Linked DNA regions of Elephas maximus indicus. The protein of the gene in region 1 purifies or fractionates together with the protein of each later gene. This does not show direct contact. Links are inferred from orthologs where the notes say so. Each region holds a gene or a part of one and is shown in the gene's direction. Other genes may lie near its edges. The genes, in order: ATXN2L and LSM12.

Region 1 (15,037 bases):
GGTTTAAATGCAAATTGAAATCACAACGAGATACCACTGTACACGTATCAGAATTGCAAAAAGACTGACCATGCCAAGTGTTGGCAAGAACGTGGAGCAACTGCAACTCTCATACATTGCAGGTGGGAATGTAAAATAGCACAATCACTTGGGAAAATGGCTTGGCAGTTTCTTAAAAAGTCAAACACACACCTACCATAGGATCCAGCATTCTAGTTTTAGATATTTACCCATAAGTAAAGGAAATATATATCCATGAAAGACTTGTTCATGGATGTTCATAGCAGCTTTATTTGTAATGGCCAAAAAACTCGAAGCAATCCAAATGTCCAACAGGTGAACAGATAAACCAACAGTGATATACCCTTGATATAGAAGACTACTCAGCAATAAAAAGAACTGTTGATATGTGCAACAACATGGATGAATCTCAAAATAATTATGCCGAGTGAAAGAAACCAGACCAAAATAAAAGTACATACTATATTATTCCATATAAGTAAAACTCTAGAACGTTATATGTGACTTCTACCTAAAAGAAAACAAACTTTAAACATTGAGCTCTACCTTGAAGTATTTAGAAGCGTACTGTGTATGCAGTTTATTTTGAAAGGCATCCAAAGTCTGTTTGATTAATGAGCTATGTGATAAAGCAAGTATAGTAAAACGTTAACAGTAGAATCCGGTTGGCAGGTATTCAGATGTTCCCTATAAAATTCTGTACTTTTGAAAACGTTCATAATAAAATTTGGAGGAAAAAGGCTAGAGGTATGGGTTTGCATGTTACTTTTTCTTGGTTTACTATAAAATGTGTGTAACAAAACACTTGCTACTTTAACCATTTTTAAGTGTATAACTCAGTGGCATTAATTACATATGCCTGATTTTTTGAGATAACCATAGGATCCAAGTGGAGGTGTCAAGTAGGCAGTTGGATAGGTCAGGGGATAAGTCGTGATACTACATTACTGAATTACCAGTGTTGGCAAAATCATGATCAGGAGTTGGTAAAACAGCCTGTAGGCCAAATTCAGCCCACTGCCTGTTTTTGCATAGCCTGCCAACTAAGAGGAAACCCTGGTGGTGTAGTGGTTAAGAGCTATGGCTGCTAACCAAAAGGTTGTTAGTTCAAATCCACCAGGCAATCCTTGGGAACCCTATGGGGCAGTTCTACTCTATCCATAGGGTCACTATGAGTTGGAATCAACTCGAAGGCAATGGGTTTGGTTTTTGGTTTGGTGAACTAAGAATGGTTTTTACAATTTTAATTGGCTGAAAAAAAATCAAAAGAATATTTTATGACATGTAAAAATGATGTGAAAATCAAATTTTTAAAAATTTTATTGGAATAGAGCCATGCCCATTTGCTTGTGTCCTGTCTATGACTACTTTTGAACTTTGACAGCAGAATTAGGCAGTTGCGACAGACTGTATGGGGTGGTACTCTCATTGCTTCACATTGCTGCTTGTGATGCTACAAATCACAGTGACAGTTTAACCAGACATGAGTTTCAAATGCCACGTGTATCATCATACTATGACTTTTTTAAAAATAATTACCAGTACATACCTATCATGTCAAGTAAGAAAAATGACAGCCAAGTGTGAATTATTTTGTCACTGAATTAGATGGCAAAGCATCATGCTTATTATTCAGTGGCCCTAGAACTCTGCAATGTACACTGACATTACCAGGCCCACCATATTCCTAACTTAGAGAAATGCAACAGTCAGAAAAATTAGAAAATTTAAAGTAGAATATTTCAGTATAGCAGAATATTTTTCACAAAAACAAACAAAAAAATGAAAGTGAGGCTGCAACCAAAGTCCATTTTGGAGTGGCTTACTTGCTAGCTGAGCAAGGAAAGCCCTTTACTGATGGGGAGTTAATTGAACTGTATTTTTTTGCAGTAGCTGAAGAAACGTGTCCAGAAAAAATAAACTTGTTTAAGACTATGAGCTGTAAAGTGAAACAGCTGAACAAATTTTTCAGGCAATCTGGAGCAACATCAACAGTCAACCAAAAACAAGACAAATGCTTTCCAGTGGTTTTCCTCGGCCCTTTGAACAGATATTACCAATGCGTTGTTAGCTGCTGTTGAGTGATTCCACTCATAGTGACCCTAAGTATACGCAGAGAAGAACTGCTCCATAGGGTTTTCAAAGCTGTGGCCTTTCGGGAAGCAGGTCGCCAGGCCTTCCGAGGTGCCTCTGAGAGGATTTGAATTGCCAACCTTCTGGCTAGTAGTTGAGTGCTTAACTGTTTGTGCTACCAGGGACTCCTCCTCAGAGTCGAGGGGAGGTAATATCGATAGGTTTATGTGCGACCTAGGGGAGGAAGGAAGGGGGGAGACAAGTGATTGAGTGGAAAAGGATGGGATTCTGGGGACCTGTGCCTGGAGTCCCATTAGGAGGAAAATGAGAAACGAGATGGAAGATAAGCTCAGGAATGGAACTCATTAACCAAACTAATTGGAAAGGCAGAGGTAGGGTGCTCCCACCTTCCTCGGAAGGACTGAAGCAGCTCCATGTACCGTATTGGGATGGCAAAGATGTTTGTTAGCAGAGGAAGGACCACAGCAGGAGCCGCTTTGGAAAGAATCCAGCTGCAGGGTTACGCTCTAACTGGTGAAGGAGAACAGCAGATCTTGGAGTTCGTCCAACCCAACAGCTGCAAAAGTGCATTGTTTGGCCCACAAGATGTTCAAAAAATCCAAACTTCTAGTTTCTCAAATCTGGACTTCTGGCTCCTAAGAAATCATCTCTGGCAACACTGGAGCACACCCCTACCTGGCAAGAGTTGGCTGGAAGTGAAGAGCAGACCCCTTTTTAGATAGTTTGCCACAGTGCCTGCTTGTTTTACCTGCCTGGCCTCATGGGCATCTGAGTTTGGGCCCCCATCTAATCCAGCCTCTCCTGTTACAAACTGAGACAGAGGCCCAGCGACTTGCTAGTTGGTACAGCTAGTAAGAGACAAAGGCAGAACGAGAATTCTTGTCTTCTAGGACGCAACCCTGTGTCTTTTCTGCTACCTCCTGCAGCCTCTCCGTAGGCAATGCTCAGTCCCTTAAAAAAACAAAACAAACCCATTGCCATCGAGTCAATTCCGACTCACAGCAACCCTACAGAACAGAGTAGAACTGCCCCGTAGTTTCCAAGGAGCACCTGGTGGATTTAAACTGCCGACCTTTTGGTTAGCAACCGTAGCTCAGGCCCTTAGGAAGGGAAAATGTCCCTGTAGGATATGTGACAGGGGAACATATTTAGGTCAGCCTTCATCATAATGAATGCCTCATCTGCCCTGCAGCCACTCTTATATGTCTAGGTAAGTAAGGAATATAGCCAAATGAAGTCCTGGTATCACTGGAGGCTCAACCTGGTGTTACTGCTCAATACACTTAAAAAAAAAAATGCACAGAACACTGGGGAACAGTCTAGGGGTACTCTTGAGGGCTAAAACTGCTCAGCTAACTTATCATGTTTGTGGTTGATATTGACATATGTGTGCATGTATATATATATACATACTCACATATGTACAGATATTGATATAAATATGTTTAGGTGGTTTATTTACTTATGTGTAATTTATTTTGCAAGTAATTGCAAACTTAAAAATTAAGGCAAAGATACTGTTTACCTAGATTCATCAATAGTTAATGTTTTGCCACATTTGTTTTTTCGTTCTGTGTGTGTGTGTGTATAAAACCATTGAAGAACAGGCTGAATATATTATGTTCCTTTATTCCATAAAAATTCAGTACATATTTTCTAATAATATACATATCTACAGTTACATTCAGGAAATTTATCATAGATCCAATAGTTTATAGTCTATATTCCAAATTTGCCAGTGGAAAATTTACATCCTTTATAGCAATCTTTTTCTATTACGCAATCTAGGCCAGGATCAAGTGTTTCGTTTAGCTATTAGCCACTTAAGCCTCCTTCAATCTGGAAGAGTTCCTCTACCTTTGTCTCTCGTGCCACGGGCGTTTTTGAAGAACGTCCATCTGTTTTCTCTAGTGTGTGTGCCTTCCTTTTACGTATGTAAGCATGTATGTTTATACCTATTAACAGCATGGATGCACAGATTCTTCTTTTATTCAGTGGGTTATGATCTATTACTTTCCTTATTTTGATGCACAATTTGTCCCAGGTTTGGCCAGTGAAAACCTCTTCAAGCTGGCTCCTATGTCTCTTTGATCTCCTTATCACTTTTTTTTTTAAGTACTTGTTTTCTGCCACAAGATGTTCCAAACTCATCTTGTACCTTCCTTACTTCTGCCCTGGAATCAACCATTTCTTCAAGGAGCTCTGAGTCCTTTTATTGAAAAATACTATTTGGAAAGCAAGATCTGGACACTAGATATGAATGCGAATGTATTATGTGTATATATATGTATATAGAAACCCTGGTGGCATAGTGGTTAAGAGCTACAGCTGCTAACCAAAGGCTGGCAGTTCAAATCCACCAGGTGGTCCTTGGAAACTGTGTGCGCCAGTTTCTACTCTGTCCTGTAGAGTTGCTATGAGTTGGAATGGACTTAGCAGCAATGGGTTTGGGTTCCTTTTTTTTTTTCTTCCCCACTGAGAACCCTGGCTCCCAACAACACTCATGTGCTCAGTTCTACAATACCCCAAAATAGTTTCAGAACTGCCATGACTTTATCACTGTAACTAGAGTTGAGGTTTTTTGCAGTTATTTTTCCTTTAGGCTGAAGACACTTGAAGAGCTACTTGAATTAGTTCTATTTTTCTCCCTTCAATGTGGTTATTTTCTTCATCTGAGATATAGTTGGGTTCATTTGTTTACATCTGTACTCAGTGTTTAGCCTCCCATCCTTATTGATCTCATTTTTTTAATATGTTGACTGTGCTATGATCTGAAAAGTCAAAACTATACGAAAAGGTATACTGAAAGAAGTGTCCCTTCCCCTGGCCACCCCCCATCGGAGCTCTGTTGTCTTCTTCCAAAAGAAGAGTGTAACCCAGTAACCAAGGAACCCCCATTTTTCCCTATCCTAACAGGTAACCAATTTTATTAGTTTCTGGGTTATTCTTCCTCTATTTCTCTTTGCAAAAATTTGCGGATACATTTATTTCCTTCTCTTGTTCCTCATACCATAGTTTCTACTCTTTTGAACTTTGCTTTTCTCAATTAACAATATATCCTGGCAATCGCTCCATATCAAATCATAGTCATATAGTTTTTTAATTCATACAAGAAAACAACATTCCAGTCATTTACCAATTTGTCGATTGGGTGACAGCCACTGACCTTGGCACAAGGGATCTAGAAATGAGTAAAATACAGTCCCTGCCCTTCATGATCCCAATGGAAAGGAGACACACATATATAAACAAAACCAATATGGTGCTCTGGACGTCCAGAGGAAGGAGTAAATAACAGGATGTCTGAAAAGGTGACACTCCAACTTAAGAATAAAAAACTAGAGAATTGAAACGGGAATTCTAGGTGAAGAAACAACACATGTAAAGGCAGGGCTGAATAAGGGCAAGACATATTGTGGAAAGGGAGCCCCAGTGGCACAGTGATTAAGCACTCAGGTGCTAAACAAAAGGTTGGTGGTTTGAACCCACCAGTAGCTCTGCAGAAGAAAAGACCTGGGGATCTGGCCCATAAAGATTACAATCTAGGAAACCCTACGGGGCAATTCTACTCTGTCCTACAGGGTCCACTACAAGTCAGAATGGACTCCATGGCAATGGGTTATGTTATGGAAATGAAAGTTTAATTAGAATCTGAGGGGGAGGGGCAGGAGCACTGAAGAGGTAGCATGGTACCAGATAGTGCAGGTAATGCCAGGAAAAAGCTAGACTGTATTACTTAGGCACCCAGGAGAATGAAGGTCTTTAAGATACGACTTGGAAACATTTACCTCACAAATATTTAATTGACTGCCTGCATCGTGCTAGGTAGTGCAGAGAGGGCAGTAAGAATCAAGATCCCAACCTTTAGGGAGCTGACACTTGCAGGAAGACATAATTAAATGAGCTATCAGAATAAAGTGGCCACGCACACAGAACGGGAACCTAACCCACTGGAAATTGGGGTGAGACTGAGGTGAGAGAAGACTTCCCAAAGAGACCCAAAAAGCCCAGTGCCAGAGAAGGGCTGCCTTTTAACTGGGAGGCAGGAGGGGAGGAGAGCTGGAAGAGTTCTAACGCTAATAATGCCTGGAGCAAAAAGAGATTCAATCCTCACTGTCGAGTTGATTCCAACTCATAGCCACCCTATAGGACAGAGTAGAACTAGCCCATAGGGTTTAAAGAGAGATTAAGACATGAGAAATTTCACTGGATAAGACCACATGCCCATCACTTCTCCATTCCATTCTCCACATTGCAAATCTGACCTCTTCATTTTCTAAAAAAAGCCCCACCCCACTTCATTGAAGATCAAGTGGGGGCCTTTAGAATCTGGTCCCAGGTTGCCTACCTCGTGTCTCTATTTTTTAACCTCTTCTTCTAATTTTATGCTCCAAACCTACTGCCGCTGAGTCAATTCTGACTCATAGCATCCCTATAGGTCAGAATAGAACTGCCCCATGGAGTTTTCAAAGAGCGCCTGGTGGATATGAACTGCTGACCTTTTGGTTTGCAGCTAACCACGTATACCACCAGGGTTTCCATTCCAGCCATGCTGAATTTTTCTGTTTGTCACATTCATTTCCCACTGCCTAAAAATTCATCTCTCTACTGTCTTTTCAATTTTGATGCCACGGAACACTGGATTCGGTGTCACCTCTATCTGTTCTCACAGTGCCCTGTACTTCATCTAACAGATCTCATCTAATTGCGTGAATCCACAAACAGCTCGAACTCCTCGAGGGCAAAACTAAAGCCAAACCCACTGCCTTCGAGTAGATTCCAACTCATAGTAACCCTGTAAGACAGAGTGGAACTGCCCGGTAGGGTTTCCAAGGCTGTAAATCTTACGGAAGAAGACTTCCATGTCTTTCTCTGCTGGTGGGTTCCAACTGCCGACCTTTTTGGTTAGCACGGCTGAGCGCTTTAACCACTGCACCACCAGAGCTCCTTCCCTGGGGGTAGGAAGTGGTTTACTTATCGCTGTATCCAAATGTCCTAAAGCCCAACTAATTTTGAATGAATGAATGCTGGCTTTATCAGAGTTGGGGGGAGGGTTTTGAACTAGACCGTAAGAACCTCGGCCCCGAGATAATGGAAATTTCTTAAATTTAAGATTTATGATTAGGCTAATCTGCAAAGGCCAGTACGATAAACTCGGACACTTCAATCCTCTTCAGTCTTCTATTTAAAGCAGGTAAGGTCCAAAGTAGCTCCTCACAAAACCTACCACCTGCTTAAAGGAGTAGAACCCTTGGCTTAGCCAATTCCGGGGATCTTTTTGCATTTAGACTCCACCCACTAGCCCCAGAATGGCGGAAGAATCGAACGATACGTGGTACCTCCTCACACAAATGCGGAGGCATCCCGACGTTACGCCGGCGGCGTAGGCGGGGCGACCGGTTCTTCCTCTCCGCTTCCTCGGCCCCTCCCCCGGCGCTCACACGGTCATTGTGAAGCGACAGCCGCTGCCAGTTTCTAGGGCTGTTTCAGACCTAGAGACTTTAAATTCTTGGCGCGTGTGAGCGCCCGCGCTGCTCCTTTCCCACTCCAAAGGCTAAGGGCGCGAAATTCACTTAATTTTATTTTCCCTCCTCACCCACCTGGAGCTAACCGCCCCGGTGCGCGCCGGCATTCGCGCCACCTCTCCCTCCTCCCCGCCCCTCCCCCTTCGAGAGCTCTCACCCGCGCGCTCCCCCCTTTCCCGGCGACGCGCACGCGCGCCAGGCCGGCTCGCGCCCTCTCGGTTTCCTACAGCCCGCGAGACCCCCTCCCCTTCCGCCTCGCGGCGCTTCCTCGCGCCGCGGTCTTCTCTATCCACCCCCGACACCGCGGGGCTCCCCCCGCCCGCCAACGGCGGGTCCCCAGCATCCCAACCCCCCTCGCTTCCCGCGCCCTCCGGCAGGGGCCTAGTCCCGGCCCCCTCGCTCCTTCCCTTCCCCCTGATTCCCCTTCCGGACGCTGCCATCATGTTGAAGCCTCAGCCGCCACAACAGACTTCCCAGCCCCAGCAGCCGCCCCCCACGCAACAGGCCGTGGCCCGCCGGCCTCCCGGGGGCACCAGCCCTCCCAACGGCAGCCTCCCGGGGCCGCTGGCCTCCACCTCGACTTCCCCAGGGCCTCCCGCGGCCGCTTCCCCTTGCCTGGGGCCCGGAGCCGCTGCAGGGAGCGGGCTGCGCCGGGGAGCCGAGAGCATCTTGGCGCCGCAACCGCCGCCGCCGCAGCATCAAGAGAGGCCAGGGGCAGCTACCATCGGCACCTCCAGGTGAGGAGGGGTGGGCTTCCGGGCGGGGGAGCAGAGGCTACCAGGAGGAGGCGGCGGCTCTGTTCCGGCCCGGCGGCCGGGGCCTGAGTACAGCGGTGTGGGGCGGGCCCCAACGTGACCACCTATGGACGGCACCGGGGGGAGCGAGAGGCCCCCCGTGAAGATGGGGGTGGGTACCCTCAGGTCCTAACAGGTCGGAGGAAAAGGGTCCCCGGGCAGCCATGGGACATTTGGGGGCCAGGCTGAGCTTTCAAGGCCTAGGCAGGGTTCGGGACTCGGGCTTTCAGGGGAAGCGGGGCGCACCTCTCCAGCACCGCCGAATCGGGGAGTTGCGGGGGGGAGAAAAGGTGAGCGGGGTCCCCGGCTCCATTACCACGGAGGGTCTCGCGGTCCCGGGCTTCAGCCAATGGGGAGTCAGCTGCGGGAAGGGGTCCCCGGCCGTAGCCAATGGAGGGGGGCGCGCGGCCCACAGTTTGGCCAATAGGGAGGGAAGGACTTGGGAGCGGGTTGCTACCTCCCCCTTCCCGGTCTGGCCAGTAGGAGGGGAGCGGGGAGGGCGGGGGGACGGAAGGAGGGAGGTCTGGGAGGGCTGCGGGCCGGGAACCTCCGCCGCGCGCGCGCTTTTGCCGTACGTGCGCGCGGATGCACTGTCTCTTGACCCGGGCATTCGTGTGTCCGGGGCAACATATTGGGCAGAAGCTGGGCGTGTGCCTGGAGGGGTACTGGAGGCCCCACTCGGTTTCTCTCCCTCTCGGTCTCTCTTTTTAATGGAATTGAGGGTGGTGGTACACGCAGGCGCAGTGGGTTCTGGTCACGGGAGGGGGCGTTTCGAAGAGGCCCGTGGGCTTGAGAGCGCAGGCGCAGACCGGGCGAGGCCTCCCGGTGGATGGCTTTTGCGGCTGCGCTGTCCCCCAGCCCCGCCAACGGCCCCCTCATCGCCCTCAATCGCCGGTTACATCAGCCATCGAGGAGCGGGGTTACCGAGGGATTGGTGACCTGTCCGAGTTGGTAATAGGCTGAATGGGTAATGAGGTCTAGGGGGTGAGGTGTGGAGGGGCTTTCCTCTCAGGGCTTGGGGTGTGAGGCTGCTGAAAATGATTGTCTTTTCTATTTGGAAAGTAATGTGTCTGAGGTGCGTGTAGGTACTACCAAATCTACCTACTGAAAATGATTGTCTTTTCTATTTGGGAAGTAATGTGTCTGAGGTAGGTACTACCAAATCTACCTAAGTCTTGCCTTTATATCTGGGATGGGTTATTGGTTATCGAATACTGTAGCGTTGTCTGTTGGAAGCATGCAGCCCTCTGCCCCTGGGAGAAAGTGAGGAGGTTGTGTTGAATTGGCTCTTCAGACCAATGACAATTATTCCCGATTATGGTTTATTTTACTGGAATTTGGAGGCAGCGTATTTACTGGCTCTTGATGCTTACTGTTGTTTTCCCCTATAAGGTGAGAATTTGAACATCTTGTTGGTAAATTGGTTTGTAGCCTAAATCAGCATCTTCATTTGGTATGTGTTTCTAGGATATTAAGTGCTTTGAGGTTAATGTTGTAAAGGAAAATTAAAAAGATTTAAATAACCAATTTTTTTATCCTTTCCCTTTTAGGGGACAGAGCACAGGAAAAGGACCCCCACAGTCACCAGTGAGTACGTTTATCTCTCCCTAAGATATGAGGACCTAAAAGCCGCTCACATGGGGTATAGGGGAGATTAGGTACAGAGGTAGAGGGGCTGAGAAGGACCGGAGACCCAGCACACACAAGGTGGGGGTGAGTGGAGCCTGGGCATTTAAAAGGAAAGTGAAACATTGACTGACCGACCACTTCTTATTTCTCCCTCTTTTGTCGCTGACAGGTGTTTGAGGGTGTTTACAACAATTACAGAATGTTACATTTCCTTACAGCTGTTGTGGTAAGTGGGTACTTAACCCCTAGGTTGTTTAAGACGGTTAGGACTCAATTTGCTAGAGACATTCTTATTTTTCTCATTCTCCTAGGGCTCTACTTGTGATGTAAAGGTGAAAAATGGGACCACCTATGAGGGTATCTTCAAGACTTTGAGCTCAAAGGTCAGTGTACTCGAATCAGCTTATTTTTGGACTTTGCTGGAAGAGGAGAATGGAATAGATTTATCAAAGGCATTGGATTGGGTGGTATTGGTCAACATTATGGGTGTTACTCATTATGTAGGTCTATGCCAGGGTAATACTACAAGTGGTAATAAAAGACGTGGGTCTGAATAAACATGGGCTCTTCTGTTGTTAAAAAGCATGAATTTTAGAATGTCAGATGTTTAAATTTGAGACTTTTGTTAGGCCTTCGGGTGGTGTTGAGAAGGCAGTGTACATGGGGTACTTTTGGAAAGAGTAAAGGGAAAATAGTTGTATTTTTGCTTTCACATTTCTTGATACTGACCTTCGGGTGTTGGGGAATGGGGGCTCTTGTAGTTTGAACTAGCAGTAGATGCTGTGCACAGGAAAGCATCTGAGCCAGCAGGTGGCCCTCGTCGGGAAGACATTGTGGACACCATGGTGTTTAAGCCAAGTGATGTCATGCTAGTCCACTTTCGAAATGTTGACTTCAATTATGCTACTAAAGGTATTGTTCTAGATAATTACAGATCCACTTTGTGAGTAGAGGGGAGGAGACGGCAGTTTGGGTGCAGGTGGAACATAATGGTGGCTTCTTTTGTTTTAGTCACTCCTTTTTTTTTCCTGAGGGAGGTGGTTTTTTTGTTGTTCTTGAAAATGTGCCTTTATTTCTAAGATACAGTGGAGTGGTTTCTGACTTGCATTGTAGTTCTTCACATTTTTCCTGCTTAGTTTCAGCTGCTTGCTCATTTCGAACTATTAAGATGAGGTTTTCTGTGCTGCCTTCCTTCCAGGCCTGGCACATAGCACGTATAGTCTAGATTTGGGTTTCTTAAATTTTTCTTTACTCCTGAATGAGTTGTTTTGGGGGGAGGAAGGATATGCAGAATTATCTGATTCCTGATTGTCGAATCTGCCCCCACAGACAAATTCACCGATTCAGCCATTGCCATGAACTCCAAGGTGAACGGGGAGCATAAAGAGAAGGTGCTCCAGCGCTGGGAGGGGGGCGACAGCAACAGTGATGACTACGACCTCGAGTCTGACATGGTAAAGTCTCCCTTCCTAGGAACCTGAGGGCCGGGTGACTCTGGTGCCATAATGTGGGTTGTTAACAGTAAGGACATTCTTAGGGAAACCCGTTGCCATTGAGTCGATACCAACTCATAGCAAGCCTGTAGGGGAAGGGGAGGAAAATCCTTTACTGTTACTCGTTGGCTGTGGTCAGATTCCAAATAAAAAGGTACAGAAAAATCACCAAAATACTCTGTATCTCACTATCTGGGATTGACAGCTATTAATAGTTGCTTCAGATGACTTTATTAACAGATTGCAGGTAAGGCTGAACACCACGTAAATTCATTATGCTTTCTGAGAGCAACTACTTTGATGCAGTTGATATTTCTCTGGCTGATGTTTCACGCTTACGCACGCGTATTCAGGAAAGAATACATTGTTGTTTCGACGTTTAATTTACACAGGTGCTCACTTTTCATGCTTGTCTTTTAAATTTTTCGAGTTGATATATAAATCTAGTGTACGCCTTTTAACTATCGTGTAGCGCTCAATTTATATACATACACATTTATACACACACACCAAACTCTTTATCCTTTACCGTACTGATCGGAGGAGCCCTACTGGAACAGTGGTTAAGCACTCGAATGCTAACCCACCAAATGCTCTGCAGGAGAAAAATTTCTCAGGTCGCCTTTGTAAAGGTTATAGCCATGGAAACCTTACCGGGCGGTTCTGCTTTGTTCTATAGGGTCACTGTGAGTTGGAATCAGCTAGATGGCAGTGGATTTGGTGTTTGGTTTTATTAATTTGTGATTTGTCCATTACTCTATTATTAAAAATAACGCTTTATTAAACTTTCAGAATGTATATCTTTTTGTCCGTGTGGCAGAGCTTCTCTAGGGTAAAAACCTAGAAATGGATTTGTTGGTTCTTAGGGTTTTTCAGTTTTATCAGTTACCGCCAACTCATGCAGCAGTTGGTAGTATCAATTGATAGTCCCACCAGCAGTGTTCCTGTTTTGCCACCCTTGCTTTGGTCACATTTTTAAGTTTTTCAGTTGATGGAAGGAAAATGACACATCATGATTGTTTTCTTTGTGGGTTTAAAATACGTTTCCTTCTCTCCCCCCACCCAGTCCAATGGATGGGATCCCAATGAAATGTTCAAATTCAATGAGGAAACCTACGGTGTAAAGACCACCTATGATAGCAGCCTTTCTTCTTATACGTGAGTATCTTGGTAGTTCCAGGGCGATGCAGTTTAGGGTGTAGGGTTAGTAATAGAAGGCACGAGCCTGTAGGTGGAACATAGCTTTTGCTTATGCTTTTCTGTGTGCCCAGGTTGCCCTCCCCTACTCCTGGTCCGCCTTGTGAACTCCTCCCTTGGAGGTTTTCTCTTACCTTTTCCTGATTTCTAGGGCACCCCATAGGTAGAATTAACTGTTTTCTTTTTCATCTGTGTCTTTCATCGTGAATTTAAAAACACATTTTATGTGTGTTTGTAGCTAAGTGTTTTTCAGACTTGAAGATATACCATGGGACACTGCCAGACTCCAGTGGGCGCCCACTGAATATATGCTTAAATTGTTAAAGGGGTAGGATACTCACATACCTGCACAGGGGATAGAACTGACAAGTGTTTTCTCTTTTTCCCCTTTTGTCCCCTGGCACTGGGATGCTGGTGGTCTGTGTGGGTTCTCTCAGGGTACCTTTAGAGAAGGACAACTCAGAAGAGTTCCGTCAGCGGGAGCTGCGTGCGGCCCAGTTGGCCCGAGAGATTGAGTCAAGTCCGCAGTACCGCCTGCGGATCGCCATGGAGAATGACGATGGGCGCACTGAGGAGGAGAAGCACAGTGCAGTCCAGCGGCAGAGTTCAGGACGGGAGAGCCCCAGCCTGGCATCCAGGTGATTACTGGGGCAGCCAGGACTGCTTGGGGCTCACTGTGGGCAAAGAGCATTGTACACTATTGTTTTAGTGTCACAAGTGTATGAGGTATAGGCTAGTACACATTCCTGGTTTTTATGCTTTGGAGATTGAAGTCTAGGGAGGTTAAGTAATTGATCTAAGGCAGCATGGCTAAAGCTTGTGGATTTAGGAGGAAAAAAAGTTTTCCCCCCAGAATTTTGATATATATTGTTTTTCTTTTATCTGTACGTATTTCTTTTTTCACCTTTACACGGTGAAACGAAACTGTGCGTAATGATCTGTGTTTTGTAAAAGCTGTGTCTCGAACTACAGGGTGATACTATCTTTTTCATAAGTCAGGAACAGTAGAATTGTGGAACATTAGCCAGGCTGGCACAACATAAGGCCATAAACCTGTAGCCACAGAACATTCAGCCAGGATATATCTTCAGGTGGGGTAGTGAAGGAAGCTAGAGCCAGGCGTTACGTGTGCATGTGCAGTGGCGGCGGGGCTGGGGGGAGGGGTGATGAGATGGGCTTAAGAAAGGAGGGCTTCATCTTTCCAAAATGTATGGGTTTTATGGCTAACTGACCTTAATTGAACTCTCTCCCCAGGGAGGGGAAATACATCCCTCTACCCCAACGAGTCCGGGAAGGTCCCCGGGGAGGTGTTCGCTGTAACAGTTCCCGGGGTGGCCGCCCTGGCCTTAGCTCTTTGCCACCTCGTGGCCCTCACCATCTTGACAATAGCAGCCCTGGCCCAGGCTCTGAGACACGTGGTATCAATGGAGGTGAGTCGTGGAGCATGCTTGGCAGGGGCGAGAGAGGGGACAGTAAGAAGGTGGGAAGCGTAATTGAAAAGTAGGATTTAGATGGGTTGGAAGAATGATGCATGGTGGTAATGCAACAGCAGTTAGTCTGCCTGTTCTTACTTTTATTCCATTTTTAAAAAAAAATAGGCCCTTCCCGTATGTCCCCTAAGGCACAGCGGCCTCTGAGAGGTGCCAAGACTCTGTCTTCATCTAGCAGTAGGCCTTCTGGAGAAGCGTCTGTTCCACCTCCTTCTGCAGGTAAAATTTCACTAGTATCGGGTGAAGATAGAGGGATAGAAATTTATAGAGGAATATAAACATTCTAACTGCTGAATGGTGGAATGGGAGACGGTTTCAAATATGAAAGCTGATGGGAGGGGGGTTGGATTTATTCTCTTGGGGAAAGAATTTTTAGTTTTTCTATTGCAGAAATCCTAACCTAGTGATCCGTGGGTTGTATCGGGGCTTTGAACCAGTGCGTTCTGGTTTGAATCCCTGGTGAGAATTTCCTTCGTAACTTCTCAGGCAATGCTAGTGCTACTGGTTAGGGACTAGTTCTGAGATCCACTAGTAGGGCAGTTGTTTTCAAAATTTATCATACGTGAGAATCATCTGCGGATCTTGTTAAAATGTAGATTCTGATTCAGTACATCTAGAGTAGAAGTGTGCATTCTCAGCAGGGGTTTGAACCAGTTGGAAGCTCTGGTTTTATCTGGTTGGTAGACGTCTTTTGTTTAGAATTGATGTAGTTGCCAACATTTTAAGACTTAGAAGTCGTATAATTACAATTTTTTTTGTGATACAGGAGGTTCTGAAAACGTTGAGCCTGCCTT
Region 2 (15,113 bases), on another chromosome or scaffold:
ACTGCCTGTGGCCACAACATCTCACAGATGTGGCCTAGGCCTGACAGATCACAACTGAACCCAGAGCCCTTCTCTGTCGCTGTGACTCTGCCTCTGTAGAATGAGGATTGCAGAGGGGGCAGCCTGGCCAGGGTCCACCTGCATTCATGCTGGCAAGTTCAGTGGAGAGACAAGAAAGGAATCCAGAAATGTTCAAGGGCTTTATTGGGGCCTCCTTGAGACACCCCTCACAGTGCTGCAGGAACCGCTGGTCTTGCCATTGCTCCTGCTCTTTAGGGGCTTGGGAGGGAAGGCAGGAGAAGACCAGCCTCTCTGGGAGAGAAAAGGCTCTCTTTTGGGGCTAAGACCAGGTGGTGGGAGAAGTTGGGGAAATTCAAAGTAAGCCTGTTGGGAGCTGGACACTCAGAAGGGATGGGGCTGCCTGGAAGGCAGAGGTAGAGGAGTGTTGGCTTTGGGAGGGAAGGTAGTGGAAGGAAGTACTTGGACGTCAGGAAGAATGGATGGCTGGGGCTTCCTGGGCACTGAACAAGTGTACCACCCAGGGCACGAGGGCCAGGACCAGGCATGGCCAGAGGGTGAATTTGAGGAAATTGAAGATGTAGAAGAGGCTGACCTGAGGGGCATGGCCCAGCCAGTCCAGGGGACCTAGCAGCACCACGGCCAGCACAAAACAGGCAATCTTCTGGCCATTTCCCAGGTGTGCCCGCCGTACCTGGGCATAACAGGGAGAGTGCAAGGCAATGCCCAGACCCAGGGCGGCACCTGAATCACGGCTCAGGGAGGCAAAGGGCCGGCTGTCCACATGCAACCACTCAGGTCGCTCACACCACTTGGAAGCTAGGTTGATGGACCTGTGGTGAGGAAGAAACATTCCCCTGGAACCTAGAGGGCCCCGGCTCTTAGCCATCTGCCCTTTGGGGCCCAGCCTCATGTTCTGTGACTCCAGAAGGGTCTATCTTTGTGAATAAGCGGTGTGTCCTTTGTTAGCTACAGTTAACCAGGGACCTACTAGACTAGATCCAGGTGAGGTAGCACAGGCCCTAGCCTGCCCAGTCTTCAAAGAGGGACTTACCAAGAAAGATCCAGGCCCAGTGTAAAGAGGGTCCAATAGATGAGGCTGGCGCCCAGCATGAGAGCCAGCGCAGTCAAACCGTAGAAGCTTAGCTCCCGCTCCGTGGGCACCCGGGGGGTCATCAGCCAGCCCAGGATGACACCTGGGGAAGGGGGTGACATGAGCTTCAAGGAGTTGGGGACGTGACCAGTGAGTTGCGGCTTGGCAGGAGAACACACTGAGACACGAGGGGGACCTCGGGGTTGGCTCTACAGAAGCCAGGGTAAATGCAAAGATTTTGAACTGGTCCTTCCACCACCAAAGGCACCCTCTCAGCCACTCCAGTTGCTTACCAGCTATTAAGCCAGCCAACACCTGGTGTGGAAAATGTGCTAAGATGAAGACCCGAGACAGGCCGACTGCCAAGAGGAAGGTGCAATAAGCCAGGCTAGGCATAATCCGCACCCAGCGGCTGGAAAGAAGAAAGGCAAATGGCTCAGGGGGTGTCCACACAGCATGGCTTCCCTCTACACCCAGGCATGGCATGGGTTGACCAAATGTCCCAGGACCCCCAAAACTCCAGCTCTCAGGCTGCCCTACTGCCATTATCCCTGCTCCCATTGGTGAGCAATGCCAGACAGAGTATACCTGCGGGTCCGAGTGGCCAACTGGGAGGAGACGGTCGTCATTACAGGCCAGAGGGCTGCTCCTGTGATCATGCAGTGTCCAGAAGGGCTACCTGATGGAGAATCCAGAAGCTTGTGGTAAGAGGATGGGGGTGGAACCCAGGTGTCCCTGGTGATATCTTAACACATCTTCCTTCCCCTAGCCAAGATGAGAGCTTCCTTCCAGTACTAGTCCATAGCTCCTTCTGCTCTGAGGGCTTTTTTACTCCCCATCCGCCTCCTTCCCCCATGAGGCCTCTCTCAGGCTTCTGCCTTGGCCTGTGTACAAGGTGGGCAACTGGCACACTGGCATGGGGGCCCTCCTCCTACAACTTGACTCAGTCTTCCTGGGGTTTCTTTGTTTTCAGGGCCAGTGACTGTGAGGCTGGGCATCTGGTGGGGCCACCCAGGCTAAAAAGTACTCTGAAATGCTTACCCAAACCCTAACCATATTGGGAAAGAGAGGAGGGTTGAAGCTTCCCACCTGGACCAGTTTCACATGAAGAGGGGAACTGGTGAACCTGGGCTGGGGCCTGGCTGTAGTACCCAGATTCATGGACCCACCAGAAGGGTCTGTCTCCAAAGAGGAACCTGCAAGAGAATAGATGCAGGACAACATTAAGCACAACACAGGCGGTAGGAGAGAGGGGAGAGTAGCAGAAGGACACCTGAGAGTCCACGGGAGAGGGGAAGAGTCAGAATGGGAACTCTGATTCTCTGCCATTACCCCGCCATGGTTTCCTACCTTGGAACAGGTGAAAGCATGCTATTTTCTAAAAGCAATAGGACACAACAGATTGTGGAGTGTGTGTGTGTTGCAAGTCCAGATCTCCTCATCCACAGAGAGCCCAGGACCTGACACTTCTCTTCCCACTCCCCACCCTAGACTCTCACTAACCCTCCTGCTTCCGTTTTTCTTGGTGCCATATCCCCTCTCTCCATTTCCCAAATTTCATCTTGAATTACCCACACCTGCATTACTTAGGTGAGTGTCTCATGTTTGAAAACGGGAGTGGTGAATGGACAAGGTGGCTGAGAAAGTGTAAGGACAAAAAATTCAAAGTTCCCTGGCTTAGTGGGGGTGGCTTCTTGGCTAGGCCCTGGACAACCACACACTGAAGGCTGCTGTGGCCAGGAGAAAAGATGGGAGCGCAGAAAAGATGCCAGCAGGAAGCTGTGTGCCAGGGAGGGTGTTGCAAGAGGGACCTAACTCCTCCGCAAAAACAACCTAATTTCACATACTAGATGTTCAATACCTACTTAGCCCCTACTTTGTCATGTGGGGGGCATTAGCGCTCCACCAAGGGCTGGAGGTGGGAGGCCTGACGGTTGAGGGAACAGGACAAGAGAGGGAGGCTTATACAGACTCTGAGGAAAGAGAAAGCATAAAGCAAAGGGCAATTAAGCAAGAAGGAAACGATTTGACAATTGCTTTTCCGTTTACAGCAGGAATGCATAGCTACAGAAGAGTGGAAGGGAAAGTAACTATTTTGTTTTTTCAGCAAGTCATTCTTTTTTTTTTCATTCCAGTCCATTCAAGTGTCTCCTATGGACCTCCTTCCCTCCTGCAGAGGGAACAGAGGCTGAGGTGAGGCAAGGTGCTGGCTGCATGCCCAGGGAGAGGCACCACTCTGTTGTGCACCCAAAAGAGAAGAGGTGGCTCAAAAAGATAAGCCCCAAGGGCTGCAGGGCCTCCACCCACTTGCCTGGGATTCTTGGCTTCTAAGTCTCAGTGTGAATAGCCTACTAGTGAATGAAGAGAAAAAGGAAAAAGAGACAGTGTGCCCTGGAAGGCAATGCTTTTCAAACTTTACTGTGCACTGGAATCGCCTGGGTACTTTGTTAATATGCAGATTCTGATAGCGCAGGTCTGGGCTGGGGCCTGATACTCTGCATTTCTAGTAAGCTTTCCAGTGCTGCCTATGTTCTGATTTGCAAGGCTTGTAGCCTTTTCTGGCCTTAGCAGCTCGTGGGATGCCTGGCACAAAGTGTGCTTCTTAAAATTGCGTCAAAGGAATAAATAAGTAGATGAATGAAAAAGCGAGTTTAAACCAGGGCTTTCACCTATTTAAAAATCGCCATAGATGCTGGTTAAAATACAGATCCCTAGCCTCTCCCCCGGAGTTTCTAAATCACTAGGTCTGAGGTGAGGATGGGGTATTTGCATTTTTAACACATTCCTTAAGCGATTTCTCTGATCAGGGATACTGGTCCAAGGGGCGGGCTGGGTGGACACTGAGGTCTGAGTTGAAGATGCTCAAAGAGGAAAAGTCGAGGCCACGGGGTAAGGGTGGGAGGTGTAAAGGCCATGGGTTCACTCTTGGGGGAGGTGCAGGCTTCTGAGGCACCCGCTAGAGAGGTCAGGGCTTGCATAGGAGTCAGGGTCCCCAGGGATGGGGGACCAGGCTGCCAGAGGGCTTCGCTGTCTCACCACTTGAAGACCAGGTTGAGCCATTCAGTGATGAGGCTGATCCAGAGCACCGCGATGCCCACGCGGGGAGAGGTGTAGTAGGCCGCGGGAAAGTAGAACAGGAAGAGGCACTTGGGATCGCCCAGAAAGGTGACCCAGAGCCACAAGTTCTCCAGCCCAGGCATCTGATTCTGCAGCGCCTCGGCCACCGCGATGCCCGCACCCTGCGCCGACTCCATGGCGGCCGGGGCAGGTCGAGCTGGGGCTTGCTCTACCGCGGAAGGCGAGAAGGCCGGGAGACTGTAAAGGGGGTACCGGATGGCCTCCACACCAACCCTCCCGCACCCCAGGCCCCGCCCTCCCCACCGGCGGCCGGCACCCAGGGCCCACCCACTGCCCCGCCCCGGGCAGTTTCAGGCTCGCGCGAGCCGGACCTCTCGCCGGTTTGGTTTCCTTCTGCGCTCTTCCTTGGGCCGTCTCTCTACTGGGCAGCGCAGGGGACAAACCTTTGCGAAGCGTTTCCGCAGGGCCCCACGTGGCTGCCGTTGTGTGCACGTGGACAGGGGGCGTAGAGGCGGCCCCGGCTGCTGTTCTGGGTGATGGGACAGTGTTGGGGATGAGCAATTAAGGGCAAAGGGCAATTGAGAAGGAGATGATTTGACAACTTATTTTCTGTTTACAGTAGGGATGAAACGCTAGCGGAGAAGAGTGGAAGGGAAGGTAACTCCTATTTGTTCTGCTACCCTCCAAAAATAATCCTGCGATCTCTTGGAGAGAGACTTAGGAATACTACCTCCTCCAGAAAGCCAGGCATTCCCGGTCAGCGCTGAAGCGGGACCCTAAATTTGCGTACATGCGTACACAGCAAATCCGTCCACGCCTTTCTCGCTGAGCCCAAGACTCCCGCCCTAATCTATCCGCTATTGACTCGCAAATTCTTATTTACAACCGACAAAGTCACACTTCGTCCCACTTCTAACCTTGCCTCCTGCCATCCACAACCCCGCTGGGCAGATAAACCAGGAGATAGTAACAGTGTAAGAGAGGAGGGGGACACACCCATGACAGAGTTTGTATGGCTTCTCTGGAGGAACACACGGAAAACAGAAATCTCAGCTATTCTGGGTGAGGTCCTGCCTGGGGCGGGCGGGGGGAGGGGGAAGGAGACTGTTGAAATGTCACCTCAGTACTTTCCTACTTAAATAACTTTGTTCTTGGAGAGTTTTCTGATGGGTAGTTGAAAATGAGAGTGTAAATCTGGGTTCTTGGAAAGAGATTAGTTTCACTAATTAAAAAGGTGTGGGGAAACGAGGCTGGATATAACTCTGGATATATACATCTCACTCCCTTGCTAAATGTTTTCCGGTTGTCCCCGGGAGAAAGCCTAAATTTCTTGCAGTCTTTCAAAGTTTGGTGTAGCTCTAGTCTCAACCTTCACCAGCCTGACCCCCGTACTCCCTTGATAATATTTCTGGGTTATTTTCCTTTCCTTGAAATCTCCAAGCTCCCTCCTTTCAGGGGTCCTGACACATGCGGTTTCTTCTGCCTGGACACGGCCACCCTGTTTCCCTGGTGGTCCTTCAGGTCGCAGTTTAGATTTCTCATTTCTTCCAGGAAGCCTGTCATCACAGTGCAATGTAAAAAATGGAGTGAGTTCCCATGGGGGCCTGAGAGCAAGCATGAGAGATGAAAAAGTACTCTGAAAAACACAAGCATGAGGGAGCAGTATTTTTATTTCTATAAGAAGGGATTGTACCAATACACCCAACACAAGAAAGTTGATGCCTGTTTCAGGGCAAGGAAACATTTTTGACTTTTGTTCAGATTAAACCCCTGCGTCGATTAAGTGGGGCCAAAGCTGGCCCTTTGCTTCCTTGTGGGGATAGAGAAAGGTCAACCTGTTGTTCCTCCTAAGTGAGGCTCCAGAATTTTTACGTTGGGGGGCAGGTGAGCTAGGGGAATGCAGTTGGTTTGGGGTGGTTAAAAATATATCTGTGTAGTACCTTACATGAGGTTAAGAAAACAACTGTTTTTGATATCAGATGGAGATTAATGGGGGTGGGACAGAAGCCCCACCCCTCAAAGGCCTCCCCCCATAACTATTACTGCTCCTCACTCCTGCCCTTTGCCTGGCTTGAGACGGGGGAGAGCAAGGAGGGAGATGGGGAAGCGTTGAGTTCCAAGGGTGACGGTCATTCATGGGGGAACTATCATTGATTAAATACCTACTACGTGCCGCCTGAGGCCCTAATGGCACAGTTGTTAAGAGCTCAGGCTGCTTAGCAAAGGTCAGCGGTTGAGCAGTTTGAACCCATCAGCGGGAGAAAGATGTGGCAGTCTGCTTCCCTTAAGATTTACAGTCTTGGAAACCCTTTGGGGCAGTTCTACTGTGTCCTATAGGGTCGTCGGAGTCGACTGGACGGCAGCGGGTTTGGTTTTGGCTTTTAGGTGAATGCGTTTATACACACTATCTCATTTAAGACTTCTTTTTTTTTAACTACTCTGTGAGGTAGGTATTATCTAACACGGTGCAACAGTGAATAACACCGTCTTTGGAAACAGGCCAACTGTGTCCAGCCACTTGCTAGTTGTGTGACCCTGGACAGGTTCAGTTTCTCTAAGACTTGGTTTCTTCATTGTAAAATGGGGATATTGATTCCTACCTCAAAGGGTTGTTGGGATGCTCAATAAGCGATAAAACAGATGCAAATGAAGAAACAGGCTGTAGAGGTTTAGTAATTTGCTGAAGATCATATAAGTAGTATGTGGCCGACCTGGGATTCCGATTCCAGTTTTCTGCTTCTATAGCCAACGTTCTTTGCGCAACCATTTTGTAAATAGGTATAATTATCTTGAGCAACTTTCGTTAAATCCTCATAGCCTTGGATTCCTCACATGTAAATAAAGGTAGTATATATTACTTTATATATAGAGTTCATTCATTAAGCTCTCGCTGTGGGCAAAGTGTGCACATAATGGGGACTGCAGGTCATTCCTGTTCTCGCTGTTTATTCCACGTGGGTCACTTATCTTTAAAGGACCTTACAAACAGTTGCCAACGCGGGCGCCGCTGCAGAAACATTATTCTTCAGATTCCTTTTCATTTCCTCGTTTTTCCTCTTCCACCTAGGCTCCCGCCCCACCCACGCCAGGCCACGCCCAGGCGTGTGACATCAGCACGCCCCGTGCGTCGCGTCGCGGCGCTCACTGGGGGCCCGGCTTTCGCCCGCTGCTGCCGCCGCCGCCGCCGCCGCCGGCCGCGGCTGCTCTCCCAAGATGGCGGCTCCTCCGGGCGAGTACTTCAGCGTTGGGAGCCAGGTGTCGTGCCGGACGTGCCAGGAGCAGCGGCTGCAGGGCGAGGTGGTAGCCTTCGACTACCAGTCCAAAATGCTGGCATTAAGTATCCTTCCTTGCGTGGAGCCCGAGGCCGGGCCGGCGTGTATGTGCGGTGGTGGGGGGGTGGGGGACGACGGCGGCAGCTGGGGCCCTCTCCGGGCCTAGGGGCGACCGGCTACCGCGGCGCCCCGGGCGCATGCGCACGGCCCTGAACTCCCCTCCCCCTCCCGCGGGCCCCCACGGTCCGCTTTGGGCAACCTGTCTCCCAGCCCTTGCGGGAGCTGGGCCCCAAGAGAGGGTTGGTGGGTGGAGAGGGGCTTGACACGCGGATGGCTTTTTGGGGGGAATGCTGTGAGGGGAGACACTGTGATCGGGCAGGGGGTGATGGTAGTGGGAGGGGGCTGGTGAATTGGAGCCCGGATGGAAGGGGGGCGGGTAAGATCATGTGGGGAGGGGGTGTGTAGGGCAAGGAACTGCTAGTGGGGCAAGGGTATGACTGTGAGTTTAGGAGGGGGGCTATTTACTGATGGGATTTGATCCGAGGAAGGGGCGGAGGGGTGGTGAGCAAATGGTCCTTGCTCATTTTGGGGAAGAGTAAGTGCAGGTCAGAGTTTGTATCTGAACTGGGGGTAGTGACTTTTCCTGGTTTGTGTGTATGTGTGATGCCATTGGGATGGGGGCTGCTGACTTTTAGGCTTCTCTGTCATTTGGTAATTGTTTTGTGATGCGCGTATGGGAAATCTGGTGCAGAGGGGGCTTGCCAGGTTTTTCAGGGACTTATGTAGAGATGTGTGGGTTACAGGTGAAAGAGTAAGTTCTTATCTTCTCTTGCTCAGCCCAGTACATGGAGTCCTGACTTTTCCATCATAGTAGCCTCCCCTTTTGGAAGTGACAGTGCTAGAATGAGTGGGAAAAGGTGGCCTGCTTCTTTGGGGTGGAACTGATTTCTGAGTTACTCTTGGAAGTAAAAACACTTCCTGGATGGAATAAATGTGCCACCTTTCCCCCTTTTATTTGAGCTACAGGTGGGTTTGTTTGGGTATATTTGGGGGAGGGGGCAATCTTTTAATCCTGTATGGCATCTTTCAAAATGAAGTTACCTGTTGAGTCTTCTGCCTTTGAGTGGCAAACATTTTCATTCATTTAACCACTAGTTATAGATTTCTAGTTTAGGAAGATGTCCTTTGAAACAGCTGCATACAGCAAAGACAGTTGCTTTTTTTAAAAACAAGAAGTTATACGTGGACCTAATGGGACTCTCTATATTAGTGGTTTAGATGGAAGGATCTTTGAAATGAGGAATAAATCTACTTGCTTTTCATTGGCATACTGTAGGCACTTGGTACATGGTTGGAGAGTGCGCGAATGAATGAATGGAGTAACTAGCTAGGTGAGTTTCCTTTCCAGTGCTGTAGTTTTCTCCTCTGTAAAATGGGAAATATCCAATCTGAAAAAATGAAAAAAAGCATTATGTTATACAGCAAGTATTATACCAAGAACAGAAAATTCTGGCTCTGCCGTCAAGCGGTTCATAAGCTCCAGACAAACAGTATACGTAAGACATAAAAATTGCGTCGTGCTCTCTTTGTGAAGCAGAGGTGACAGAAACCCTTTTGAGGCTTCCCGTTTTTGGTTGTGAGTTTGAAAAGCTCAAAATCCTTTGATTATGGGCTTGGGTGCGAGGAAGAGGCAGAGATTTTTGAGGAGAATAGTAATTGTTGTGAGCCCCCTCCCCAGCTCCCCCGTGGCACACTTTTTTACAAGAACTTTGTGTCAGTTGTGTTTTCCATGCCCCTTTTGGGATGTGTCCGTGCCTCTGCTTGCCCCTATTTTCCTTAACTTTATTTTCTCACCAGAATGTCCTTCTTCAAGTGGAAAGCCCAACCATGCAGACATCTTGCTCATAAACTTACAGTATGTTTCAGAAGTGGAAATAATTAATGACCGAACAGAAACCCCTCCTCCTCTAGCTTCACTCAATGTTAGTAAGGTAAGGACTTGAGGTCAGGTCTGCCTGACCAAAATGGCGGGGAAGATGAGTCTCATAGACTCTTGATGATATGTACATTGTCTGTTGTCTGTTTTTCATTGACTTACAGTCACCTGTTTTGATAGCTTCTTAAAAAAATGTGTCATCTTAGTTTTTGTCTTTATTCTTGGATATCTTCAGCATATCTTAAGAAACATCTCAATGCTCAGACAGAATTGACAGCTTGCTTTGCCATGTGTGAAAGGGGGCTTTTTATTTTTTTTTAACCTGGCGGTGGTCGGGTGGGATGGGGTGGGGCTTTTGCCTGTGAATCTCCTGAAATTATGAGTACATGTGTATGTGTGCACACACGAGTATATGTGTTTCCTAGGTGAGGATCTGGAGTTCTTTTCAGATTCTCAGAGGGATTCACGACCTACAAAAGTTTGAAAACCACTTCCTTAGAGTTTCGTTTGTCTTTATGTTTGAATTTTGAAGTCTAACAAATTTAGATCTTTAGGGTGTTTTAAACCTGAACACACAAATTGATCTCAGAACCCCAAGTCACTTTTTTGGTTCTTCAGCTCCATTAGCCAAAGTTCATGTTGAGCGATTAATAACGCCCGAAGCCTTGTCGTAGCCTGTGCTGTCCCCTGTATTTGGAACACTCTTCCTTCCAGAATGACTGGTGCCATATCCATTAGGACTCACCTTAAATGGCACCCCTTCTAAGAAGTCTTCCCTGATCACCCAGGCTAAAGTAATCTTCCCCTCATTTCTCTCATAGTACCTTGTTCTTCATAGCTAAGGTGACCGTACCTGTTGTCCAAACAGGAACAATTTTGAGTAAAGGGCTATGCTTTCATTTTATGCTGGGACAGCATGTATAGTTCCTTGTGTCTTGGGCAAAGTAGAACCTCACGTCACCCTATCCTGGCCTTTTTCCGAATTATAAGCTCCAGAAGCTCTTTGCTATTGAGTCAATTCTGACTCATAGTGGCTCTATAGGACAGAGTAGAACTGCCCCGTAGGGCTTCCAGGCAGTGGCTGGTGGATTTGAACTGCTGACCTTTTGGTTAGCAGCCATAGTTTTTAACCACTGTGTTACCAGGACTCCTTTTGTAATTATGTTTGTATGTTGCTCGCTTATCTAATATCTGTCCTTGCTGTGCTTTGTCCTACGAGGATGGGACCCATACCTGTTTTGTTCAGTGAATACACAGTGCCTTGTGTTTAATAAATATTCGTTGAGTGCATAAGTTGTGCCTTTGGTTTTAGTAGTGGCTGCAGTTTCTTAAGTCTCTTGTGTTACTGTGGAAGTTTTTCCCTCTGGAGGAGGCGCGTCATAATGTACGTTCTCATACCTCTCTTGGGAATATGGTATGTTCATCACGATTCAGCAAAGCAAGGAAACACTCAGGCAGCTGAAACACTAGAGGGTAATAGGCTAGCAAAACGTAGACTGTAGTTCTACCTTAGACCTGGAACCCCCTTCTTGCCAGATTCCAGGGAAATGGTTTAGTGATAGCTGAGAACAGATTCAGAAGGGTCTTGGGTTTCATATTAAACACTGTTGTCCTTTCCAGGATGTCCTGTTCTTAGAAGCCTATGTTTCCAAAACCCTGGCTTAGTTAGATACCTCCTTACTGAAGTATAGCGCTCTTTGGCTTGTCTTCTGTTAGTTCAAGAGATTTTAAAAGATCTAAGTGAAATACTTTGAGTCCAATATGTTAAGGAGAAAATAGGCTCTAAGTTATCCTTTGATGTTTATAGAGTATGAGAAGCCTGCCACTAAATAGTGAATAGTAAGGAAAGATTATCTGAAAGAGGGATGCTTTTCTCCAATTTAAAAGATAATGGGTTTCTACTCTTGGAAACAACAAATGCCACCATTTATCAGCGAGTGCTTGGAGTGATAGAGGGGTGAGACTGCTAAGTAGGAGCTATTAAGCAATTCCCTTCTACTTCTATAGCTATTTGATCTCAAAGATAAGTAGCTCTTGATTATTTAGTTTGGGGTTAATCTTTGCCTTTAGGGTTTTGCTTTCTGCTGGTTATGTTTTTTAGTTGTTTACTAGTATTGGTAACTAGTTGTTTACCCACTCAGGAAAGTAATAGATTGGGGAATACCAGAATCTTAATTTCTCTTACTTTGTGGCCTGCTTGCCAATTCTGGAAAAAGGTTTGCTGGGAAGAGGAGACAGAAGCTAAAAACTAAAATTAGGTTGAAGGGCTATCTTTGGATTTCATTTTTTCATTCTTTTTCTGCTTGTAGATTTGTTTATGAGTAAGCTGTATGGGTTTTCCCTTGAAACCAACCTTTAAGATGCTTTTTGAGTCCTCTGATTGAGTTAGAATTAGAGATAGCCTACGGGGCTGTCACTGAAAACAGCCAATCTGGGCAGCAATTTACATGTTGCTTGAATGACAGGAAAAGTTCATCTCAGTTAAAAGCTTGGACTTGGGGATTTCTTAAGATGGAGGATGGTTTAAGCATGTGGAAAGGAACTAAAACACTGAGCTCCCTGGAAGAAAACTGCTGAAGCTAGTGCTTCAGACACTTGCATTTTTGGGTAGCACTAGCTGTGCTTCCAGTGAAAGATAACCATTACATGTTGGCTCCTCTTGCTGACCTAGTAAGAGCTCTGCTTAATTAAACCTGTGGATATAAACTGGATATTTGTTTACTCTGGCCCTCCAGGAAATGGAAGGGAGGACCTTTTAAAGGAAACACTTATTCCAGCCCAACTAGGGAAGGTATGGACCAGCAAGTTCTTGGAGATCAGCCTGTTCTGTTGTCGTTTGGCAGCTTACTGCAGGTTAGCAAGTCATCTCTATCCATGGCAGTGGGATAATAGAGGAAGCTTGGAAGGGGACAGTGAGGCTGGAGAAGGGGGAAGTTTTGAATATCATTTTATCTTCTCTAGAGTAATATTGTATCCTGTTTAAAGTGTTCTGAATTTCCTGACCATAAAACAGAAACATTCAAGTAAAAGTCTAAAAGCATATCAAAGCCAGTCATAAATATAATCAGATTATTCACCATTGTTGCGTATTGTTAGTTTACTCTGCCACAGAAGGCTTAAATGTTGTCTGAGGACCAGAGCCCTAATAGCCTCATGGTAGGGTGTTTCTTAATGAGTTCCTTGAATTAAGTCAGCATCCTGTTCTCTGGGTTAGTATTCTCTCAGATGATTTGGGACATGTCAGTATTAACAAGGTCTTTCATGTAGCATTTATCAGACTCTTACTGAAAAATCTATTTTGTGTAAGGCATTGTGGTAAGCTTTGCTGGGAGCTATACCTTACATTTTTATAGAGTTTTAGAGTTTGCAGGGAGATTTGACAACATCTCATTTCATCTTCTTGGCCACCCTTTGTGTTCTTTGGAGTTTTTTTTTTTTTAGTTTAATGTTTGAGGAAACAGGCTTATCAGATTAAGTGACTTATTCACGGATGCATGGCTAGTAGCATGGGAACTAATATTTGTAGGTGCCGTGCTCTGAGTTAGCCATCTCATTTAAATTCTCACAACAGTTCTTATGGTGTGGGTACCATTGCCATCTTACAGAGGAGTAAACTGAGGCTCTAGCTTAAGGTCATGGAGCTAGTAAGTGATAGAGCTGGAGTTTGAACTCAGGTCTGGTGTTTTGATGTCAAAGTCCTGTGGTTTTTCTACTTCTGTGTGCTTATCTCAAGGAGCTTATAGAGTAGTTTGGTGAAATGAAATGAGTACTTGAATGTCTATAATATTAAGTAATGTTTCTAAATAAACAGAAATATCTGTATTGTATGGTACATTTGCTGTTATCGGTGGGCAGTGTGATCTAGTGGAAAGAACCTAGGAACAGACCAAGCAGATCTGACTTTAAGTTACTTACCTGCCTTGTAACCTTACTGAGCATCAATTTCCTCACCTGTTAAAAAATGGGGATAGTGTTAGTATCTCTCTCAGAGTTGTTAGGAGGATTACGTCAAGTTGGCTAGGGTTGGCAGATGTTGGTTTTGTTCTCCCACAGTAGCTATATGTAGCCAACTGATGCTCCTTGAATTGTGGGATGGGGTGGGAGGGTGTGACAAAGGAAAGCAGCCAGGAACCTTGATGTTACTATGTCAGTCCTCCCTGGCATTGGACCTGACGTGGATTCAGAGACCTGAACTTGCCAGCCCAAGACTGGGGAAAATCTAAATTGTACTGAATACCATTAATATGTGATATACTTAAAAGATGTTTTTGAGAGCACTTTTGTTGGTGACTTTTCAGGGCAGTATTATCAGGTGGCATATTTAAGTGAACACTTGCCTGAACACTGGAGGCTGGAGTGAGCAGTCACAGAACCTAGGAGCCTGTGCTTTCTGCCTTGGAGACTCCTAGCAAAGGACTTACTGACACAGCCAGTCAGTGTCTGTATTCATTTGTTTTGATAAGTGCACCCACTGCATTGAATGGGAGGTAAGCCTTCTTACCACTTCGCTGAGTTGGAAAATAATTTCTGGAGGGGAGGAGGAAAAGGGACAGAGCATGGACAGTTTAAATCCACAGGTAATGTAGGATTTAGGCATTCACCTCCCGTACCGAACTATTGACTGATTTGTCAGCCTCTTTTATCCATTTATCCATTACTAACAAGCACTGAGGAGCCCTGGTGTTCCAGTGGTTAAGCACTTGGCTGCTAACCAAAAGATCAGAATTTCGAACCCACTAAGCTGCTCTGTAGAATAAAGATGTGGCAGTTTATTTCCGTAAAGATTACAGCCCATGGGGCAGTTCTGCTCTGTTCTGTAGGGTCGCTATGAGTGATGAAGTGGTACCAGGAAGAAAGGATACCAAGAGCTTATCATTGGCCCCTGGTAATGGAGAATGAGTTGACTGCCGTTGAATATAAATGGTATCTAAAGATTGGTCTGGGGGTAAAGGGACCTGTTGAGGCTGAGAAGATGGAAGAGGCACAGAGTTCCCTTTTAAAAGAAACTGACTGTAGTGATTACCTTTGAATATAATTTGACACTGAGAGAAGAATTAACTTCAGTTTGGTTTTGAATTCAGCTTAACCTTTTGAAGTTCTGGTGATTTGAGAGTTAATCCCCAAGTATGAGTAAATTCCTGAGGTAGTTGATAGCTACTGCATTACTGCAGTGCTCTGTGTTCACAGACATAGCCTGTTAGCAGGGCCCTTGGCATACTAGTTGACCATATCTTCACCCAGATGTGTTGGGGTTCAGAGTTACTGAGTCAGAGATGGCCTGGCCACCTTATGTTTAGGTATGTGTGTTTTGGTAGGAGGTGGAAGATACATCATGTGTAAACGTGAGAAGGGAAAAAACACTTGTCCAGCCCAAGCAAGAATTTTTTGTTAGACACATAAAACTTTTTGGCTCATAGAGGTACAGAAGATCAAAGACTGCAGTCTTCAGTATGGATTATACTTCAACATAAAGAAAAGAAAAATCCTCACAACTGGACCAGTAAGCAACATTATGATAGACGGAGAAAAAATTGAAGTTGTCAAGGATTTCATTTTACTTGGATCCACAGTCAACACCCATGAAATCAGCAGTCAAAAAATCAAACGATGTACTGCATTGGGCACATTTGCTGCAGAAGACATCTTTAAAGTATAAGAAAGCAAAGATGTGACTTTGAGGACTAAGGTGAGGCTGACCCAAGCCAGGCATGGTATT

What was found.
Region 2: the proteins of ATXN2L (region 1) and LSM12 purify together in Homo sapiens (affinity purification with mass spectrometry; 4 studies listed by BioGRID and IntAct, with this or other methods). This does not show direct contact. The link is inferred for Elephas maximus indicus from reciprocal best matches to the Homo sapiens genes ATXN2L and LSM12.

The regions. Positions count from the first base shown.
Region 1 is NC_064830.1:88,852,915-88,867,951, reverse strand, and holds the start of ATXN2L (ataxin-2-like protein), read left to right. Parts: upstream 1-7,808; 5' UTR 7,809-8,081; coding exon 8,082-8,377; intron 8,378-8,961; exon of another isoform or gene 8,962-9,263; coding exon of another isoform or gene 9,264-9,385; exon of another isoform or gene 9,386-9,401; intron 9,402-9,414; exon of another isoform or gene 9,415-9,544; coding exon of another isoform or gene 9,545-9,582; exon of another isoform or gene 9,583-9,887; intron 9,888-9,984; coding exon 9,985-10,021; intron 10,022-10,232; coding exon 10,233-10,289; intron 10,290-10,374; coding exon 10,375-10,446; intron 10,447-10,824; coding exon 10,825-10,975; intron 10,976-11,392; coding exon 11,393-11,517; intron 11,518-12,622; coding exon 12,623-12,714; intron 12,715-13,190; coding exon 13,191-13,391; intron 13,392-14,007; coding exon 14,008-14,183; intron 14,184-14,351; coding exon 14,352-14,462; intron 14,463-15,037. UniProt on the Homo sapiens protein: Involved in the regulation of stress granule and P-body formation.
Region 2 is NC_064837.1:50,605,009-50,620,121, reverse strand, and holds the start of LSM12 (protein LSM12), read left to right. Parts: upstream 1-7,305; 5' UTR 7,306-7,402; coding exon 7,403-7,526; intron 7,527-9,318; coding exon 9,319-9,452; intron 9,453-15,113. Other genes in the region: G6PC3 (glucose-6-phosphatase 3), read right to left, coding at 488-851, 1,073-1,214, 1,405-1,523, 1,700-1,790, 2,201-2,307, 4,148-4,365. UniProt on the Homo sapiens protein: Nicotinic acid adenine dinucleotide phosphate (NAADP) binding protein. Confers NAADP sensitivity to the two pore channel complex (TPCs) by acting as TPC accessory protein necessary for NAADP-evoked Ca(2+) release.